2 linked regions of the Notamacropus eugenii genome follow. Each later gene encodes a partner of the first gene's protein in a complex. Links are inferred from orthologs where the notes say so. Each region holds a gene or a part of one and is shown on either strand. Other genes may lie near its edges. The genes, in order: BBS7 and ARL6.

Evidence for each region.
Region 2: the proteins of BBS7 (region 1) and ARL6 are in contact, whole or in part, in a cryo-EM structure (PDB 6VBV), measured with the Bos taurus proteins. The link is inferred for Notamacropus eugenii from reciprocal best matches to the Homo sapiens genes BBS7 and ARL6. Residues at the interface, in NP_001178275.2 of Bos taurus: Leu3, Ile249, Val250, Gly251, Asp300, Gly301, Tyr302, Asp303, Thr319, Glu320, Pro321, His323, Lys324, Glu325, Ser326, Gly327, Pro328; in NP_001069250.1 of Bos taurus: Met132, Asp133, Arg135, Thr139, Ser140, Val141, Ser144, Trp157, His158, Ile159, Cys160, Ala161, Asp163, Lys166.

Annotation. Positions count from the first base shown.
Region 1 is NC_092878.1:162,567,978-162,579,119, forward strand, and holds the start of BBS7 (BBSome complex member BBS7), read left to right. Parts: upstream 1-5,688; 5' UTR 5,689-5,847; coding exon 5,848-5,883; intron 5,884-9,950; coding exon 9,951-10,016; intron 10,017-11,142.
Region 2 is NC_092877.1:373,033,938-373,045,309, reverse strand, and holds the start of ARL6 (ADP-ribosylation factor-like protein 6), read right to left. Parts: upstream 5,264-11,372; 5' UTR 4,935-5,263; intron 1-4,934. UniProt on the Homo sapiens protein: Involved in membrane protein trafficking at the base of the ciliary organelle. Mediates recruitment onto plasma membrane of the BBSome complex which would constitute a coat complex required for sorting of specific membrane proteins to the primary cilia.

The sequences.
Region 1 (11,142 bases):
ATCATGATAAGTTCCAGATGGATATACAGAACCTAGATTTGAAAGATCACATAATAAAATAATTAGAGGAATAGGGAAAGAGATCGCTTTCACTATTATATGTAAAGCAATAGCTCTGGACCAAGTAAGAGGGATAGAGAAGATCACAAGAGATAAAATGGACCATTTTTATTGCATAAAACTGAAAAGCTTCAGCACACACAAAACCATTATAATCAAAATTAGCTATGGAACAATTAAAAAGGTTGAAATCTTGTTTTTCTGGTAAAGAGTTTTTCTTCACATTAACATTTGTTTTAACGGTCTGAAAATTCTGTGACAGATTTTTGGTCAAGATGTTTCCATTTAAAAATTATGGATTTTAAAAATGAATAACTCAAAACTGCCATGAAACAAATGTCTAGGAAAAAAACCCCAACATTCCTTTCTTCCTAAAGCTTTTATGATGTGTTGTAATCATTAACCAGGCTTTTACCATTAAATGTTAATGGCCAATTGAGACAAACGGTTCTGAGACACTAATTGAGACTGGGGTGGCTGCTGTTGTACCAAATATTCATTTAGCCTTTGAGTCTCGTGGGAAGATTTAGTGACCTGGCCAGCTGGAGCAGCCATCTTGTCAGCTGCCTTGATGACACCAGCTACAATGGTCTGCCTCACATCGTGACCAGCGAAAACGACCTGGAGGAGGACCACCAGGGAAGCTTTCCACACTTGGGATTGCCTGGAACCCTGTCTGTAATGGCAGCATCACACATTTCAGGAATTTGGGGATGTTTTCCAGCTTCTTACCACAACAGTGATTCATTTTCTCTTTCAGTTCAGTCTTGCAACGATGCAAACTGTGTGACAATCTGCAAGAGGGATGTACTGGCCTTGATGGGACAACGGTGTGGGTGGTGAAGCCAATAGTTTCCATTGCTGGCCCATTTTTGCTATCACCAACAACATTACCATGATGGACATCTTTGATAGGCACATTTTTTTTTTTTGGTAAATTATTTTTTTCCAGTTACATGTAAAGATAGTTTTCAATATTCTTTTTTATAAGATTTTGAGCTCCACATTTTTCTCCCTTCCTCTCTCATCTCCCCAAGACAGCAAACAGTCCAATATAGGTTATACATGTGCACTTCCCGACAGAGGAACTCTAGATGAGCTGTGTGATGAGGCATATGCAGCTTTGGATGTGGCTATGGGTGAATTCGTGTTGTTTTACTATATGTATTTATTACAAGAGGATTTGTTTGTTTTTAATTTGGGGGAGATAAAGGGGAGGAAAGGGGCATGATGATGATGATGATGATGATGATGATATAAAAAAAGAAAAGAAAAAGTTTATTGAAACATTTTAAGAAAAAGGAGGGAATGTAAGAAAGTTAAGAGGGCCACTAACAAATAGAAGAATTTTGAAATGAATACACTGAATCCATTACATACTTTTAAAAACTGTATGTAATACAGTTTTGTAGTTTCAGAAGCACTCCTGTTCTTTCTATATGGAAATATTGGTGTTGGTGAAGTGCAAAATAACATAAAAATTTTTTTTAAAGAATAAAGTATTTTGTTGTTCAGCTGTGGCCCCATTTGGGGTTTTCTTGGCAAAGATACTGGAGGGGTTTGCCATTTCCCTTTCCAGCTCGTTTGACAGATGAGGAAACTGAGGCAAACAGGGTTAAGTGACTTACCCAGGATCACATAGTTAGCGTCTGAGGCTGGCTTTGAATGTAAGTCTTCCTGACTCCGGGTCCCATGCTCTATCTATTGTGTCACTTAGCTGCCCAGTAAAGGAGTTGGGATAGAACACTAGACTGTGACCCAGAGAGCAGCCTTCCTGATGAGGAGAGAAAGGCCCCAAAATGATATCAATAAGGATCCAGAAAGGATGATATAAATTTAAGATGGGAAAGGGTTATTCTTGAGTGAAGGTGGTAGGAATCTGCACTACAATGAGAGTATGTGAAATGAGGCCATGGGTCTGGATGACCTTTCCAGTTCCTTCTAGTTTTGAATCTATGATCCTAAGCCAGAGGTGGAGAACCCCTGAAAAAAAGGATTTGTTCTATAAAACAGGGACTCAGTCAAAAGGCTGCACTCAAGGACCTAGAGGGCCACAGCTGATCTCACCCCTGTCCTAAGCCCTTCTGATAAACAGAACCCTGCTTTCTTTGTCTCCATGAGGAATAATTTAGATCAGAAGAAACTTGATCCTCTCTGGCCCTAAGGAAAAGAAAAAGAAGGAATAAATGAAATCTAAAGACATTCCCATTTTAAAATAATTTCAATTTTCTTCTCCACCAGGATTTTTAAATTAAATTTTTAGTTTTATTTTTATTATTTTATTGATGATTATTTATTAATGCTAAGAATAAGAAGCAAAACAAATTGCAATTTCACCTCCCTTAGGCTTCAGGTATGTGATATAAAAGTGATCATCCAGAGTTGGAGTTTCCATGTGCTGGGGAACAAGGACAAAATTTAATACGATCACCTCCACTCTGTTCATTATCTCCCATCTATCTTGAATGTAGCTTGTTTTTATGTGGTTATTCCCATGTGGTCTGCCCCATTAGACTGTGAGCTCCTCTTACCTTTATTTATACCTTAGCACAGTGCCCAGCACACAGTAGGTACTCAATATTTTTGGAGAGCATCTCTACAGTTTAGTAGGAGGATAACTGTGACACAGAATAAGCCAGGAAAAGGGCCTCCTGCTTTACTATTTCCAATGATCCATGACCTCATTGATGTGAGCATTCCCACAACCAGTGGAGATGGCATCCCATCCATGTCTTCCAAGCTGGCAATTCTTAGGCCTGTTCTCTCCTAAATCTTCTATATGGGATCCACCCAAAGTGCTAAACCTTTCTCTAGGGTGTTTAAACTTCTAGCTGGTTCAGTGCTCCAAAGACCATCCTTTGGTCAGCCTTGACCTCTACAGCATTGAAAGACCTCAATTTCCCATCATGCATTTCCTCAGTGATAAACCTTGTGTCTCATCCTGATTCTTTACATGGCCCCTACACTCGCTCCATCACTCTGGCACATAACAGGTGGTTAATAAATACTTATGGGATTTAGTTGAATTATCCAATCTAAAATAGTCGTGAGGCCACACGTTCACAGCCACACAGAAGCACCAAGCCTGAAAAGGATGGACTTTTTTTGGGGGGGGATCAGGGATTGCTAGATTTCTTTCTCCTGTAATAAGTGAATACGACACAATCACATGCTGTGAATGCTGTGAATTGGGGACCAAGTGCTTTCATCACTCCTCATCCCATAGATCTGGGTAAAGCCTTTCTATTTTGGGCACATCAGCCATTGTGTTGTTTTCCCTGTTTCTCATCCTTTGACACCTCCCCCTGTGTGTAGTCCCCAGAGCCTGGCTTTGTCTCCTCATCTTAGGAGATAAGGAGTTGCTGGATAGACTCTCCACCTTGAGCCGCTGCTGGAGTGCCTAAACAGCCCCAGCTGCTTTTCCAGGCCCTTTCCCATTATTCTCTTCTGTTGTTTTCCTCTAACCCAGGACTCTGGGCCGGGAAAACCAGTTGAAGCCAGCATGATTTTCAGCTTTTCAATCTCTCCTTTCCCTCCCCTCATTTTCTTTGCTTGGTTGGACAGAATCAATGAGTGTTGGGGATTGGAGGCTGGGAAGAATCACTACTACAGCGGATGTATAGCTGAGGTCACAACCCTGAGAAGTTCATGCCTCTTGTCCTGAACCCACGGAGAGTTGACAGGAGGACAATGTTTGGGTTAATGCTGGCTCACCATTAACTCTTTAGATATTCATTGAGTTCATGTACCATTTCTTTTCTTGTGAGATCGGTTTTAATTATTTCATTATTGGCATACAATTCCTTTCTTTTCCAGTCTGGTTTAGAGAAAGTATCTTTTCTGCCATTTTGCTGGTGCTGTCTTCCCAGTTTATGGTCAAAGACCCTTCTCAAGTCTGCCACTCTGGTATGGTAGAGGAAAGAAAGACAAGATTTGGTTTGGAGTCCCAGGATCTCGGTCCAAGTCCAGGCTTTGGTACTTATTACCTCCATGAATTTGGGCAAATCACTTAAAATTGAAGAAGTTGTCCTTGCTCTAAGGTTCCTTCCAGCTTTCAATCTATGATCTATGGTCTCTCTGGTCTCTGCCACTCTATGCTCTAAGGCCCTACCTCATTACTTTTTTTTCCCAACAAAATATGAACCAAGTTTCTCAGCTGAAAGAGTGGAGACTCATGGGAGGTTTGAGGAGGGATAAGAAGGTTTGGAAGAGCCATTGTGTATTGGGAGACTGAATTAATTAGGGTGGTATAAAAGGATTGGGCCAACTAGGTGGTACAGTGGAGAGAATGCTGGGCTTGGAGTCAGGAACACTCATCGTCCTGAGTTCAAGCCTGGCCTCAGATACTTAATTAGGCATGACTCTTTGCAAGTCACTTAACCCTGTTTGCCTCAGTTTCCTCATCTGTAGAAGGAAATAGCAAACCATTTCAGTATCTTTGCAAGAAAACCCCAAATGAGGTCTTAAAGAGTTGGACATAACTGAATGATAACAAGAAAAGAATTGCTCTGCATAGGTAAGGGCCCAGCGAAGGTTATGTGAGATAAATCTGTAGAAACAGTTTCATCATTTTTTCCAGCTTCTTCCAACAGCACATGTGTAGGAATGAGCCAAGGCTGAGAATTGGTAGGGTAAGATTGGCAATAGGAGGAAAGGGACTCAAGGGAAGGGGGCATTATAGAGTTGAATTGCTCAAGGTGGGGCAAGGATGAGAGCACAGGTAGTGTAGGGGTGATGGTCTGGGATAGAACTGAAGGTTTGAGGGACTGAAGTCAGAGTGGAGGTGAAGAAGAGGGCTTTTGGTTTCAAAGTGCGGGGAGAGATGGAATTAACAAAATCTTGTGCTCTAATTGGGGAATTCCAGAGCTCGTGAACATGGAAGTGGTACATTTGTGGGTAACAGGATGGTTTTTTTGTGGAAAACAATAGCTACCAGGATTTTGATTAGACCCTCATTTTTCACCTAACTGCCTTGTTTGGGGATTTCTCTGATTGACTTTTCTACTCATTCTAGCTCATTCTTGGGAGAACCTCCTCGTCCTGTGAGAGCCCCTCAGCCTTGGATCCACCTCCTCTCCATCCTCCGCCCCTCTGACTGGAGGGTGGGGCCATGCCCCCCAAACGTCCAGGTAAGGAGGGAGGTCAGCTCAGACACTTGTCACCTGGCCCCGCCTTGGGGTCTTCTCCACCATCTTGGGTGTCTCCCCACCACGCCCTTCCCCCGTTGCAGCTCCCCCCCTAAGACTGCAAGCTCTTTGAGTCCAGCACGAGTTTGCTGTTTTTTCATATAGTACCCCGTACATTTTAATGCCCGATCGGTAGATATGGAGGCTGTACCTTAGCGAGAGCCAGAAGATGGAGGCAGTGGGAAAGGAAAAGATTAAAGGGAAAGCGAGTTTGTGGCCTAGTCTTGCTCAGGCATTTGCGCAGAGCCTGGCACACAGTAAGTGCTTAATAAGTGCTTGTGGTCTGACTAATTACCGGGGCTTAAGGATTCTCAGAAAACCCCTCCCATCCCTAGGAGAGGGGCGGAGCCAGTTTGGCGTCGCCGTCGTCATGGAAACGGTTCCCGGCTAAGGCCTTCCCTCCTTCTCCTGGGTGCCAGGGAGGCTGCGCGGGCTCCTGGGGGCGGATCCTCCGCCGTGACGCAGGACGAATCCCCGCCCTCTCCCCGCCCCACATCTTACCCGCTCTCCCATTGGCCCGAGTTAGGGGGCGGGGTTTCGTGCGCGGCTCCTCCGCTCGCGTCGGCGCCTCGCCCCTCCCACCTCGGCCACCGCCCCCACCATGGAGCTCACCCTGAACCGCTCCGACTATTTACAGGTGAGAGAAGCGCCCGGAACCGGCCTGACTGCGGGCCTGCCGGGGACGCGCCGCTGCTCACGGCCGCTCCCGGGCTCCGGCTCCGGCCGAGGCTGCGGCCCGAGAGGCGGGTCCTGCGGGGCTGTGAGCGACGGGCCGGGCCCGGGCCAACTCTCCCCCTCCCCCTCCCCGTCCCCCATCCCTCTTCCATCCTCCCCCTCCCCCATCCCTCCTCCCCCTCCTCCTCCCCTCCCCTCCTCCCCTCCCCTCCTCCCCTCCCCTCCTCTGTCCTCCATCCTCCCCCTTCCCCTCCCCTCCCCCATCCTGCCCCTCCCCCACCTCTCCTCCCCCATCCCTCCTCCCCCCTCCTCCCCCTCCTCCTCCCCTCCCCTCCCCTCCTCCCCTCCCCTCCTCCGTCCTCCATCCTCCCCCTTCCCCTCCCCTCCCCCATCCTGCCCCTCCCCCACCTCTCCTCCCCCATCCCTCCTCCCCCCTCCTCCCCCTCCTCCTCCCCTCCCCTCCCCTCCTCCCCTCCCCTCCTCCGTCCTCCATCCTCCTCCTTCCCCTCCCCTCCCCCATCCTGCCCCTCCCCCACCCCTCCCCCACCCCTCCCCCACCCCTCCTCCCCCTCCCTTCTCCCCCTCCCCCTCTCCTCATTCCTCTCTCTCCATCGTGCCCCTCCTCTCTCTTCCTCTCCCAGTCTCTCTCTCACCTTCCCAGGCTCCCATAGCTAGATCTAAAAGCAACCCACACATTTTACAGATGGGGAAACTGAGGCCCAAGAGAGGGCCGGGTGATGTGCTCGAGGGCACTATAGGTTCGGAGCTGGCAGGAGTCTTGTTTAAGAGCCCACTTAGTGCAGCCGGAGAGTCCCAGAGGCTGGGAGCTTCGGTGCCGTGCCAGGGTCCGGAGCGGAGCCAGGCTGCGCCCTGAGCACCGGCGCAGCTGGGGGGCTCGATAGGCGCATGGGCTGCTTGCTGCCTTCCCTCCCTCCCTCCCTCCTTCCTTCCTTCCTTCCTTCCCTCCTGCCCTCCTTCCTCCTTCCTTCCCTCCTTCCTTCCTTCCCTCCTTCCCTCCTTCCCTCCTTTCTTCCTTCCTTCCTTCCTTCCTTCCTTCCTTCCTTCCTTCCTTCCTTCCTTCTTTTCTTCCTTCCTTCCTTCCCTTCTTCCTTCCTTCCTTCCCTTCTTCCTTCCTTCCTTCCCTTCTTCCTTCCTTCCTTCCTTCCTTCCTTCTTTTCTTCCTTCCTTCCTTCCCTTCTTCCTTCCTTCCCTTCTTCCTTCCTTCCTTCCCTTCTTCCTTCCTTCCCTTCTTCCTTCCTTCCTTCCTTCTTTTCTTCCTTCCTTCCCTTCTTCCTTCCTTCCTTCCCTTCTTCCTTCCTTCCTTCCTTCCTTCCTTCCTTCCTTCCTTCCTTCCTTCCTTCCTTCCTTCCTTCCTTCCTTCCTTCCTTCCCCTACAGTTTCATCAGTGGAAGGAAGTCTCCATCAGGACACTTCCTTCACCAGTGCAGATCAGTAGGTGCCCTGTGGCTTACAGTCCTTGTCTGGAGCAGAGGTATCAAATGTGGAGCCAACAGCCCTTCCCCCAAAATAAGTAAAGCCACAATAGGACGTAGATAATGTGAATGCATGGTTTTCTAAATCAACATGTGGTCCTTGTGTTTAGTGGCCCCTCTTTCTGAGTTTGGTCCCCGCCTGGTGACCCAGCGGATAAAGCACTGGGCTTGGGATGAGGAAGACTCACATTCCTGAGTTCAGATCTGGCCCCAGATACTTAATAGCTCTTTCTCTGTTTGCCTCAAATGACCCTTCTGTCAAATGAGCTGAGGGAGGAAATGGCAAACCATTCCCGCATCTTCGCCAGTAAAACACCAAATGGAGTCATGAAGAATCAGACCCAACTGAAAACAGTTCATCAGCAACACAACTTGTCGCCTGCCCCAGATCACGTGGAGCTTGTAGGAATGAATGAATGAAGGAAGGAAGGAAGAATTTATTAAGCAACCTTAAATGAGCTAAGCCCTGAGGACAGGTCCAGAAAAGTAAGACAGTCTCTGCTCATGTTCTACTAGAGGTAGATAATAAACCTGACTTGAACCTGAGTATAAATCATGCCCCGATACATTCTTTGTGGCTCTATGTATCTTACTTCACCTTCTGTTGCCCCAACAGAAAATTAAACTGGCAAATTAAATTGGAGAGCAGATGCAAATCTGCATTAATGGTGGGGATTTCCCTATACCAATGGAAGGACCTTCCCCCCCCCCCCCACCAAAATGTGCCAGACCCTAAAGACAAAATGAAATTTCCTACCATCAGGGAGCTTACATCCTATAGGAGGGGAACACTGAGTACATAGAATATTAAGTATTAGATATATCCAGTGCATGTATTTTGGGGTGGGCCACTAGTGCTTGGTTGATTAGTTAGTCAACAAGCATTTTTTAAGTGCCTTCTATGTGCGGGTACTCTGCACAGCACTGGATATGCAGAGAAAGGCAGAAACCAGTCCCTGCCCTCAAGGAGCTCACAGTCATGGAAGAGACAGCATGCTAATGTTTCGATTATATACAAAGGAGCTGTAGAAAGTCTGTTGCAGACAGGCAGCAGAGGGAAGGCACTAATTCTAAGAGGCCTTGGGAAAGGATTCCCATAGAAGGTAGGGGTTTTGCTGGGAACTGAAGGGAGCCAGAAGAGGGAGATGAGGAGGGAGAGCATTCTAGGCCTTGGGGATAGACTTTGATAATGCCCAGGGGTGAGAGATGGGAGTGTCTGGTTCAGAGAACAGAATCCTAGGATCAAACAGTATGTTTAGGGAGTCATGTAAGAGGTACGAAGACTGGGAAGCTTGGATGGAGTAGGTTATGAAGGGCTTTCTGTAGGAGTGGTACTTGGGCTGAACTTTAAAGGAAACTTGGAACTCTAAGAGGTGGATGAGAGGTGCTTTTTAGGCCTGAAAGTCTGTAGAGGCATAGAGACAGGAGATGTGTGTTGTAAATGGGGAATGTTAAGACCAGCGTGGCACAATGTAGAGTTGTGAAGGAAAGTTAATGTATACTAAACCAGGAAACATAGCCATCCCAGAGTTACATGGGAGCCATTGCAGGTTCTTGAGCAGGGGGCTGACCTGATCAAACTTAGAAGGTCAGAAGGCCATTGTGGTAGCAGGTGAGAGGTGATGAGGACCTGAGTTAGGGTGGGGGTTGTAGCAATTGACACGATTTGAAAGCTGATTGGATACAAAAGGTGATAGAGAAGAGTCATTGATGATTCCGATGTTATGGATCTGGGTGACTGGAAGGATGGGGTGCTTTCAGCAGAAATAAAGAAGTTAGGGAGAAGGAAAGATGAGCTCAAAGAGGCTGAGTTTGAGATGCCTCCCCAGCAGCCAGTCAGAGATAGGCAGTATCCAGCAGGCCTGGCTGGTGAGTGCCTGGAGCTTGGGAGCGAGACAGGAGCTGGCCACATAGTTCTGGGTGTCATCTGCTCAGGGCTGATGAGATTACAGAAGGAGAGAAGGAAGGTGAGAGAAAAAAAGAGGGCAAAAGAATTACCTGCCTTCCCTGTCATCCAGAGTTAAGGTGAGGATCCAGTGCAGGGGAAAGACTTGGAAAAAAGTACATTTTATGGTGTTTGAACCTAAGAGTTTTATCAATTGAGTTGGTAATTGTCATCACTGTTCCTGATCAGTATCACCAATACGACCTCCTACTAACTCTTGCTCTACATTTCCAGGTTTGCAGAGATTTAAGAAAAATTACTTTGTTCAGGAAGAATCTGTGGATTATATTATTAGCCTGATTTTTTTTTAACAGAAAAGTTTTCTTGCTTTAGAAGTATTCTTCCCACAGTGTCGTAAGCTCGTGATCAATGTCCTCTACTTTGTAATTTAAAATAGAAGGTTTCTTATTTCCGGTTGAAGTTGTTGTGCCAACTTTAACAAATTTCGGCATGTCTTTAGGATTCGGATTATAATTTTGTCCCTGATGATATTGATGAGGATTTCATCGTAAACCATTTCATCACAGTTGAAATTTCCTTGCTGTGATCCTAGTTTGCTAAGTAAGAAACCTTCTGGCTTTTGTTTCCTAGGTGGGAGTGACCTCTCAGAAGACCATGAAGCTGCTCCCGGCATCTGGACGCAGAGCAACCCAGAAGGTGCCAATTCGTTCCCATACATGACTGTGTAGCAGCCTCTGCTCGTGGGCTTCTCTCTTGAATTTGACTTAATTGAGAAATTTATTGGGGAAGGGAAATTCAGTGTTTGGAAAATTGTGTTTTTAAAATACTTTCTTTCCCTTATTGATAAGGTTAGTCATTTTAAAGGTGCTTTAAAATTGAGGGTTATTGCTTGAATTAATTTTCCCCTATCAGTGAGAATGCCCCAGCATGTAATAAGTAAGGAAATGAATACCTTTTTCTGTACAGCATTCAAATAAATGTGCTTGTATGGGAAATCTGAAGATTTCAATACTTGAGTACATTTGGAATCTCATTGATGTGGGCGTTTCTTCCATCACTAGAGATCTTAACCCCAATTCATGTTTCTCATCCCTGATGATTCTTATCCACATTCTTCTTTACGTTCTGCACCAAGGATCTGCCCACTGTGCTAGATTCTATTGGCAGTGGCATACCTAACAGATATGACACCCAGAACAGATTATAAAAGTTCCCTCCTCTTCACGACAAAATTATTTTCAGTAATACTCATGAAGCAGCTAATGATATTGGCCAGAAAAGAAAGACAGACAGGGAAAATTGTCTTTTAGTGAACTCTGTATATAATCATGCAGTAAAAATATTTTTAATTTAAAAATGAGTAAAGAATTAAAAAGAAAAAAGGATGAAAACTTTTTAATTATATTTTTAAAAAGGAAAAAACTTATACCTGCATATTGGTCTGTCACAATAATGAATATTAACATTACAGTTTGGTTTTGAGCCTTAACATCTGTGGATTTGTTAATGACTTCCTCAAAGGTTATCGATAATCATTTTCAGTAGACGGTAGAGCCAGATTTCATATTCTGTTTATTAATTTAAATTTCAAAATGTTTCTTTCACTTGAAGCAACAGATGTACCATAAGTTGGAAAAGATCTTAAATATAAGTAGAATTTTGTAAAGAGATTTATAAAAATCCCATTTCACAATTTAATCAATTTAATTTACAATAATTCACAGTAAATTAAAACCAAAATGTTTGCAAAGGGCAAAGTTTGGGCGCCTCTTAAATTGTACCACTGATGTGTTTTATTGTCTTGGTTTGTTCTTTAGTTTTA
Region 2 (11,372 bases), on another chromosome or scaffold:
GCAAAAGCAGATTGACTGCTTATAAACCTGGGCACACAGGATAATGAATACCCTTGGAGTTGCTAGACAGGTTTCATTTCAGAGATAGTATATTAGACAACAGTATGGGTCAGATCAGGTCAATGCTGCTTTATGGTCTGTAATTTTAAATTATAAATTTGAAGAGAGTCTATCAGTTAACATTGACAACAATTAAAAGGTTAGGATTTAGAACCTATAAAAAAATAAGATGACAAACAGTCAATTTGCAAAAGAGAAGAAAAGAAGTTGTTAATCACTTGAAAAAATGTTCAACCTCACTTTAACAAACAAAGATAAAAATGAAAACAAACTTGAGGAATTACCTCACATCCATCAAATTGTTAGAAATAATTAAAAACAACAAAACACAATTCTAGTGGGATCGTGGATAAAGAAACACATTGACAGTAGACTCTCAAATCAATAGTTTTTTAAAATATGGCAACATACAATGAAAGTCATGATATCAATAATTCTATTTTGGGGAATATACTCTGAGAATGGGATCAACAACCACAAAATCTGTTTAAAGAATTTTAGAGCAGCATTATTTAAATTACAAAAACAAAAACTTAAATAAAACTGGAAGCAAACTAAACATTCAATGAGGGAACTGAATGTAAAAATTATGGAGAAGTCTTCATGAAATAATGTACAGTGAAAAAAAACAAATCTAAAGGAACAGAGCACACTATGATCATATAAAAGGACACAAGAATAAACAAGAATGGACACACATATAAAGGATTACAATTACTTATACAGTCATTATACTTAATTAATTGTACTTATATTAATTATACTTATACAACTACTTATAAAGAGTAACTGTACACTTGTATACAATTGTATATTGTATAATAAGTATACTTATATTAATTAATTATACTTATAATTATACTTATACAATTACTTATAAAGAGTAATTGAAAAGTCCTAACATTTGACAAACAAATTCATTGCACAAACAGTTGTAAGGCAATTTTGGGTTGTACTAATATTTAATATGATAATAAATCACTTATAAAACAGATTTAATTAGATTTGAAAACCAAGGGCAGGAGAGTGAATTTGTTTATCAGATAGTATCAGGTACTTCATTTTTACTGAGAACCAAAGTAAATAAAGCAGGTTTAAGTTAGGGGACACATCTTGCCTAGAATTGTTAGCAAATTTTTACTAAGAGATGAAGACCATGTAAACTCTTTCCATGTGGAGGTATTAAAGTACAAGATACTTAGATATATTCATTTGAGATAATTTAGATACACTGTAGTATATTAGGTCATGTTTCCTCACTATGCACATACTATTCAAGTTTCCTCTTCCAAGATGAAAATGACCATTCAGTTATATTTCACATTTGGCTAAATTATTTATACTACAATAGGGTCCCATCACATTCACATACTATACCATAACTTGCCTATCCCACAAGTGATGGGCAACCCTTCAGATTCTTGTTGTCACTTCATAAAGAGCTACAGGTATTTGAAAATAACTTTAGTGAGTTGCTTAGGACTAATTTTTCCACATTTCCCCTCTAATTCCCTCTCTCCTTCAAATTTCCCTGTTGAGTGAAATGTAGTTCTCTACCCAGCTGTGTGAATGTGTATGTATTCTTCCCTTCTTTGACCAGTTCAGAAAAGAATGAGGTTCAAGTGTTAACTGTACCCTAAACTGCTTCCCTCTTTATTTGTATAGACTTTTGATGACACATCTCAATTATTTCTCCTTGCTTTTCCTTCTCTTCACCTTCCCTTGTGTATTCCTCTTCCCCTCCCTTTCCATTCTTCTTTTAAGATCAGATATGAGATATAAAAGAACCACTTCCAGGATTTCTGTCCAATTGGATTTTCTCTATGACTACTGTTGATGACAGGATTCAAAGTTGTGCTGTGTTATTTTCAGTCAAGTACAACTCTTTGTGACCCCATTTGAAGTTTTCTTGGCAGAGATACTGCCATTTCCTTCTCCAGCTGATTTTACAGATGAGGAAACTAAGGCAAAGAGGGTTAAGTGATTTGCCCAGGGTCACAATAGCTAGTGTATGAGGCCAGACTTGAACTCAGGAAGATGTATGTAGCTTCCTGATTCCAGGGCCAGAGTTCTATCCGTTGCACACTTAGCTGCCCCAGAATTCAAAGAGGATACATATATCATCTCCCTGTTTTAGATTGTAAGCAGTTTATCCCTGTTAAATCCTTTATAATTTTTTATTTGTGTTTATTTTTTTGTTTCTCTTAACTTCTTTGTGCTTGAACTTCAAAGCTTCTATTCAGTTCTTTTCGTCAGGAATACTAGAAAGTCCTCCTTTTCATTAAAGGTCCATTTCTCCCAAGATTATATTCAGTTTTACTGGGTAGGATTATATCATTTCCCTTCCAGAATATTATATTCTAAGCTCTTCACTATTCTGAAGGGGTGGCTACTAAATCACGTGTGATTCTGACAGTCCTTATATTTGAATTCTTTCTGACTACTTGCAGCATTTTTTTGTTTACCTGGAAGCTCTAGATTTTAGCTACTATATTCCTGAGGTTTCTTTTAGAAGGTGACTGGTAGACTCTTTCTATTTCCACTTTGCCCTTTGGTTCTAGGAGTTCGGGGCAATTTTCTTTTAAGATTTCTCGATACATGATGTTTAGACTATTTTGGTTCTGGTTTTCAAACTGTTCAATGAATCTGATGGTTTTTTGTCTCATTGAACTGTTTTCCAAGGCAGTTGTTTTTGCTATGAGATACCTAATATTTTGTTCTAAATGTCTTTTGATTTTGGCATACTCTTTGTTGTCTAATTGGTTTTTCCTTATCTATTTTCATTTTCAGGGAGCATATGCTGCTTTGGCAAGGTTTTATACCTTTTGTATCAAATTGTTAATTCACTTTCCAATTATTTTTACCACAGCTCTCATTTCTTTCCCAGTTTTTCCTCTAAACTCTAAAGCTTTCTGAAACAACAGCATTAGATTTCATCTAATTTGTAAAAACATTAACTTTTTTTTAAAACTCTTGCTTCCTTTCTTCTACAAATTCTAGTTGAATTTGTGCCCAAAGTGTATTTTTCTTTGAGACTTTGCTTGAAGATGTTTTGGGGTCATTCTATTCTTCTGAGTTTATGTATTCAGTCCCTGTCACCACATAACAGTTTTGGATGGCAGCATTTTTTTTTTTTTTGCTCATTCTTTCAACCTACTTCTGACTTCAGGCTTTATGTGAGGGCCAGGTTCTGCTCACTACCAGATGGAAAGTCTGGACTTAATCCATTGTTGCTCTCTTGAGAGTAGTGAGAACTGTGTTATTCTAGACAAATTTCAATGCTTTCAAAGTGCAGGGCAAAGTCTGATGGTTACCCCACCCTCCCCCCATCTGAGCTTAAAATTCCTGATTTGAATCTGAGTATGAGCAACAATTCACTGCTGCTGGACTAAGTCAACTGTCAGGTAGCTGGAAAGCTCTGCTACTTCAGTGACAACTGCAGGCTTCTTTAAAGTCTAGGATTCCTGCCTGGTTATTTCTCTAAAGGCTTCAAATTGTTCTAGAGGCTAGAACAGACACTCTTCTCTGTCCATAGGTTCCTTCCTCAGGCTACTCTGGATTTGTGACCCAGAACTGATACTAGGTAACAAACCTGCCAATTAATACCTGTCCCCAGGTCACTATATGAGGTCACCTTATGGTATAGGTGTGGAGGTCACTTCTGGCCCTCACACATAGTCTCTGTGAACTGAAAGTGCTCAGAAGAACCCACTCCTGGAGTTTGGTGAAGGAACTCACTGTACTCCTTCCTACTATTCTGCCTTCTTGGTTCTACCTCACAAGTGATCTCTGCCTGTATTTACCATGAAAAGTGCCATGCAGAGGAGGCCAAGAGTCTTGAAAAAGTCTCAGCCAGCAAACATTTAATCTTCTAAGAACAATACCAATGTAGAAATATAAACCATTTTGAATTGTGGAAATAAGTTTTATTGGTATCTTTTATTTTTACATCACTTACATTTCTCCACTGTATGTCTACTGACCCCCTCCCAGAAATCCATATCTTATAATAATTGAAAAAGAGAAGAAAAAAATGCTCCACAAATTAATCAACATATCATAAAAAGAATGATACTCTTCTGTAGTCCATAAGCCATTTCTTGATCCTGTTATATTTTTGAAAATTATTAAAATACCACATTGAAGTCACTGAAAAGTAAAGCATATGTTAATTTAATTTGGGTGCTCCCCTCCAATGCTTTGGAGAATTTTCTCATCCTCTGTCACAAGTGTGGGCACATAAACTTTTCTCCACAGTAATCTTTTTTATGAAGATTGCTGCAAGGGGAAATGATCAAATAACCCATGAAATTCTCTCTCTTTCAGCCTTTGGATACATAAGAAAATCAACTCCACCATTCCTTTGACTTTGCAAAGAAAACCTAGAGCCTTCTTTCCCATTTAGGTATAATTTTTTTTATCTTCTCGTTTCATTTGTAGTATTGGTTTTACGCTTTCTAGCAATCTGTTTTTTTAGCATAATTCTTTAAATGCATAGAATAAAATATGTAGGATTACAAAGGAAATGAATCCTACTGAAATACAATTCTTAAAATAAGTTTCTTTGGCAACAGCAGGTGAACTGATTGGCTGCTGTGTCAGGAATGAATACCCATAAATCACTCTATAAGCGGAAGGGGGAAACCCAAGCTGGGGGCATTCATCCTGTATTTTTCTTCGTTTTGTTTTTTATTTCCTAGGTGACCAGAGCAAAAAAAAAAAAAAAAAGCCATCCCTTCCCGGCGTGAGAAGGAGCCTGTCTGGACCCGGCAGAAATGAAGGCAGACGTGGTCACTGCGGACACCTGAGTTGTCCATGGGTGGGTCTGGCCCACGTGACAAAAAGGACGAGGTCACCCTCATTAACTGACTCACCTTCCGGAACCAGCGGAGCCCCTTCCCTCACCCCAGACTCGGCCTCCTCTCGGGGGGCGGAGCGGGACCCCGGCGCGGCTCGGGCTGGGGCACGAGGGACCCCCTCCTCAGCTCCGACCCCATCTACGAGGACCCGCCCGGCGGCCGGAGGGATTCATCCGCCCGGGGCAAGAAGGTCGGGAACACCGAAGCGCCCGCAGAGTCTCCCGGGAGGCAGCGGAGCAGCGAGCGGTACTGCTGACGTCCCCTAGGCAACCGCGGCCTCTTCCGGCCCTTAGGCCCCGCCCTCCCCAGGCTCCTCCTTTCTTCTTCCTCTTACGGGAATTGGCTCTATCCCCTCAGCCTGGGCGGAGTTTGATGGAGAAGGTCGGCCCGCCTTTTCCCCGCCCGGGCCTTGGTGGGCGGGTTGGGAGGGAGTGCGCATGCCTGACTGATGAAGCGTGCAGGAAGCCTTTCCGCCTTCGAGTGTAGCTCTGGCCCGGAACTGGCCGATGTGGCGAATGACGGCATCCGCCTCGTAGCTTCACGGGAAATGTAGTCCTTTTCGGACTGCCCGTGAGCCCCGCCCAAAGCTAGCTGCCTTTGCTTGGAGCAGCCCCGAGTCTGTGTGGGTGGCCCCCTGCAGGGACTGAAATGGAATAGGGTCTCGGTGTTTGTTGTACCTTGAGGCGCCTCCTCGGAGGACAGGCTGGCCTGAAGCTGGGCTGCAGAGCACGCGTTCTGAGCGAGGCTCCTTTGTAAAGTTTTAACTTGGACACTTTCCTTTCCTCCAGGTTGGGGGTGGGATGGGCTGGGGCGCGGATCGAGTCCCCTGGTTTTTGTTTTAAAGGACAAAAGAGATGCCACCGCAGTGCCCAGCCCCTCCTAGCTCTTTCGTCATCTTGGGGCTATGGGAACAGAACCTCGTCTAGCTCAGGATCCCGAAGTTCTGGTGCCACCGAAGGGACGCCGCTCTGTCCTAGGTCTCCTGCTTATACAAGCCGTCCTTAATTAAGCAAGCTTCCTTCTCCCTTTATTATACCTTATTCTTAGCTATCTCATCCGCCTCTCTGCAGTTTATAACTTTATATATAAGTATATAACTTGGGGCACTGAGGGTTGAAGTCATTTTCCTAGGATCACAGCCAGCATTTATCTGAGACAGGGCTTGACACCAGACCTTCCGGACTCTGAAGCCAACCTTCTATTTACTGCTCCCCAGTCTATAAGAGCCACCCTAATCTTTCCTCCAGACTCCAGTTTCACATCTCCAACTTCGGCTAAACGTCACTCACACCTATGTCCAAAAAGGAATTCATTGCCTCCAAAATCTGCTCCTTTCCCAAATTCCTATTTCTGTTGACATCATCCTCATCCAGTCACTTCAGTTTAAAGCTTGAGACATTTTTGACTCCTTCCTCTCCTTCACCCAATAAATTGTAAAAACCCCCGTTCTAACTTTAGGATACATTATGTCCATCTTGTTCTCAGTACTCACACTAGTATCATCCTACTCATCAGATCAGATACTGTATCCTAAATGATGTCAATTTCTTTAGTTTTTTTTTTCCCTCTTTAATCTTGACCTTCACACAGCTATCAAAAAAAAAAAAAAAAATCTGAGCGTAGTATTCTGTTTCTCAAAAAATTGTCAGTGGCTCATTGTTGTCTTTAGGATACAATTTCCTTACCCTTTTTGCGGTTTCTGTAGGGCTTCTTACCGCCGTTGTAATTGTTACTGTTCACATCTAATTAAGGAACTCATAATAATAGTAACATTTTATAATATCTGCCCTCTGCCGGGCATTGTGTTATTGCTTAAGGTCACCCAACTAACAAATTTCAGATCTATGAACTTATTTTAGTGTCAAATAATATAATAAATTCTGACTTATTTTAAACATCAAATTAGGAAAAACATTATTTCACTTAAATTGTGACCAAAATTAATTGTATTACCCAGATCTATGTTCCAAATGGTATTACGTGGAATCTAAGGTTAGGATTTTAATGTTAACTGTAATATTATATTTTACACAAATGCTTCTTGTTCTAAACTTTTCATATTATGAGGTCCACTATTTCCACCTAATCCAGGGGCAATCTGATACAACAATTTAATCTACCCCAACTATCATACTTAAGAGCATGTTTTAATTAGTTCAAATCTGTGTTCTACTATCTTGGAAGGAACCCGTAGCTTATTAATTCCTCCATAGCTCTCTATGATTTCTTAAAATGAATAGGAGTGTCATATAATTTAGTAAAATTTCCAATTTTAACACACATACTGATTTTTTAAAAAATTATTTCAAAATTGACCAGTACTTACTTTTAGTTTATAAGACTCCCTAAATTCTAGTTGAGATATTCCAGTCAAAGTCAATTGCCTTTGATGGTATCCTGTATCACACAAACCTTTTCTCTTTCTGTGATCCAGGAAAGGTTTAAATACAGCTTTGTGACTTTCACTGGCACTGTCCCCAAACCTTCCTCTCTTTGATCAGTGAAATGACCTTTTTTCTTTTAGATCTGAGGGAAAAGGTTCCCCCTTTCTTTTTCCTTGTCTGTTCCTCCACATCCCTGAATCTGGCCAGAATTCAGGGAGAAAGAAAGAAGGAGAGAGAGGGAGAGAGAGGGAAAGACAGAAGGAGAGAGAGAGGGAGAGAGAGGGAGAGAGAGAGAGATAGAGACAGAGAGAGAGAGAGAGAGAGAGAGAGAGAGAGAGAGAGAGAGAGAGAGAGAGAGAAAGAAAGAATTTTTACCAACCATGTTTTCTTTCCAGTGCTTTCCAAACCTTACTTGCAAACCCTCTGTTCACACTTTCAGCTATGACTTCAAAGTGATGAGAAAGCTCATCAATCTTTTTCTAGCTTCTCTCTAGCTACAGCCCTTACAGGTTTTCCTTTTTCTGGCTGGCTGCATTTTAAATCTTACAAGGAGGCAGACAGACATTTTCACACAGACACAGAGATGCAGGGGAAAGTCCACCAGCTCAGAGAGCCTTGTTAGAAATCCCCTCCACAAATCACTTTTCTTGGTCCTCTAGATTGCATTGAGGCCAGGCTCTATTACAGAAAAATATGAGGTGACTCCTTTTAGATCTTGTAAGTCGAATTTGTTCTCATTTTGCAGGAGACTGCCCAGTGGGGAGTCCTGTGGTTTGGGGGTGGGGATTGTCTTTATAATGCCAAAGGCCTAAAGATATCCTCCCTATCGCCACTGCTCACCTCTTCAGTAGTGACCCATCGAGAGAGAGAGGAAGAAAAATGAGTTCAAAAATAACTTCTCCACAAAGTTCCCAAACCTTCCCTTCCTCTGTCTAGAAAAACTTGCCAGCTGCAAGGGTCCACGGGTGCTAGGTCCCAACAATCTCGTCAAGTGTTTCTAGGTACTTGAAGGACCTCCCTGCTAAGAGAAGGGAAAGGGAAAGGTTTACCTTGGATTAAAGGGGGGTCCAAATCAGAGACTGTCCACCTAGGTTTACCAAAAATATTTTAGTTTCGTGGTATATTGTGAGGTCATCTTGAAAGAATTCACAGACTCAGGCCATCTCCAACCCAAGCAAAAGCATTTATTGAGAATTACATATCTCGGCAAGTGGGCTGAGCTCCAAGAAAGAACCGGCAGTTTAGTGAAAGCAAGATAGGAATTTTTATAAAGCAAAAGATGAAATATATACATATACATACACATAAATGGAGGAGAAAATGAGGCCAGTGACTTTGAACAGCCCTCCTTCACTGAAATCCTATTCAATTGCATGTCATAGTCCTCTTTGAGAACAAAGGACATCCCACAACCTGTGAGTAGAGCAGAAGCCAGGAGAAATTCATACAGTAGCAACAGAGTTATGAAGACAAACAGCTTTGAGAGACTTAGGAACTCTGATCAACACAGTGGAGCCAACAATAGTTCAGAGAATTTGTGATAAAATATGCTCTCTACCTCCAGATAGAAAGGTGATAAACTCATAGTGTAGATGAAAGCACATTTTTTGAACACTGATAATGCAGGAATTTGTTTTGCTTATTTATACATATTTTTCATGTTTTTCCCCCTTTTTCAGTGAATGGTAGAAAGTGAAGTGAGGAGAGAACTCAGATATTAAAAAAATTCAAAAGCTGTAGATAAAGTCCTTCCCTCTAGTATGTAGGGTGGAACCAATTTGGAGGATTTATGGGAGGATATGCATGAAAGTTTCATGGGGTAAGAGGGCATGGATGATCATAGTCCGTATCTTTGGGAGTGGTACCAACACCAATGAAATCACAGATCCATCTGAGTATTTAAATACTGCTGGTGCCTATCACAGTCTATTATACATTGTGTTTGCCCTCCCAGCTGGATTTACTTATTTTTTTCTTTTGCTCATTAAAGGAGCCATTGCCTGTTTACTTCTTAAGAAGGCCTATTCACTTCATGGGCATTACCTCACTTTAAGTGAGTGCCTGATTAGGCCAAGGTCTCCCAGTACATCCTGGGCCTCCTCCAGTCATCCTGATGAATATCTGGTCACTGGATCCAGATGACTCAGGAGGAGAAAGTGAGGCTGGTAATCTGGCACAGCCCTCCCTCCCTCAAAACAAAGTCAAGTGCAAGTCATGTCATCATTTCTCTGATGTCCTGGTCTTCTTTGAAAACGAAGGATGAATACAGACAGATGCAGACAGGCCAGTAAGTGGATTTATTTGTTTAAATTATAACCAGCATTCTTTCTACCTCCTCACCTTTATTTGACTATCCTATTGAGGACTCTACTTCTTATATCCCATTCTACTGATGGCAACTTCTCCTACTCCCCTCAGATTACATAGGTGGGAGAAGGTGTGAGCATACTCTTTATTTCCCTCTCCCACTTCTAAGTCATTTTTCTATCATCATTCCACAATGGCCTTGCTTCTTTTGTAGTCTATTCCATCCCCTAACATAATCATTAGGAAATTTACTGCTCATGTTCACAACACCTTTAACAAACTGACCTCCCAGTTCTTTACATTCATCAACTTAATTTTCTTTTCCCTGTTGCTTCAGTTACATACCTGCACAGGGATGTTTTAGATCTCACTCTTTTGAAATTATACCACCTCTAAAATTAATTTTTAAAAATTCTACTCTCTAACTGTAGAATTCTGTTTTTCTTCTTCTAATCACATTTACAGAAAATTGGAGGTAGCAATATGTGGCAAAAAAAAAGTATTGGATTTGGAGTCAGAGAATCTGGGGTTCTTCTTATGGCTCTACCTATGTGAACTTGTATGATCTTAGGCAAGGTGCTTAACTCTTTTATAGGCCTCAGCTTGCTCATCTGTAAATGATGAGGTTGGGTTAAATGACCTTTAAGGTTACTTCATGCTCTAAATTGATTTCTTATAATTCTACTCTTTGCATTTATAATGACTTTTATCCTTCTTTCTTTCTTTTTCCCATTCTATTTTCTAGATCCATTTCCCCTGACCCAGATTTCGCATGTCTCTATGCCAGGTTTGGACCCTATGGTTTCCCATTTTAATGTTTCATTTCTTAATATCCTAGAAATTCTTGCCCTTGTACCCAACCTGTGAATCCTTGTCCTTAGTTAATCTCCACGATCTGATTCTTCCACTCTTGCTCCAGTGCTGCTTAGCATTACTAGAGAAAATCACATAAATGAAATCATTCTACACACTAATTAATTCATGTTAAATAATCTCAGCTGTACCCTTGCTGCTGCTCAAGAATCCTCTACCCTTACTGACTTTTTACTTCATCATCTAGTGCCTGTTCCAACCCTTCTCTTCTGCCAAGCCCACCTCCAGTCTCCACATTTAAAGCAAATGATTTACCTATTTATTTCATTAAGAATATTGAAGCCATCCTACATGATATTCTTGGAGAATCCTCATCCATTTCTCAAACCCTCTTGGTGTCATTAATCTTTTTTCTCTTTCCCCCATTTATATTTCCAATTTAGACTATCCCTTTGCCCATGCTTTTGATCCCATTGTTTGCAATCTCAGAACATTTTTCCAGCAATTATCCCCTCTTTTATGCATCTTCAATTTTAACCTTACCACTGGTTCCTTTCTATCTGTCTGTAAACATGTCTATATCTCCTCAATCATAATAAAGACTTCCCTTGACCCTATGCCATTCATCTACTGTTCTATCTTCCTGCTCTACTTCATAGGAGAATTCTTGGGGAAAAAAATTGCTCAGTGCTCAATGTCTTTTCATCAGGAAAAATTCCTTCTCAACCTCTTACAATTTGCTTTCTCTCCTAATTCCTTTCCTGATTTAGGGAGAACATGGTTGATATTGTCAAGTTTTTGAAGGGCTGTCACTTGGAAGACAGATAAGACTTAGTCTTTATGGTCCTGGAAGGCAGAACTAGAAATGATGACTTGAAGTTGTGAAGAGGCAAATTTAGTTTGATATCAGAAAAAATTCCTAATAATTAAAACTATTGCCAACCTTGGT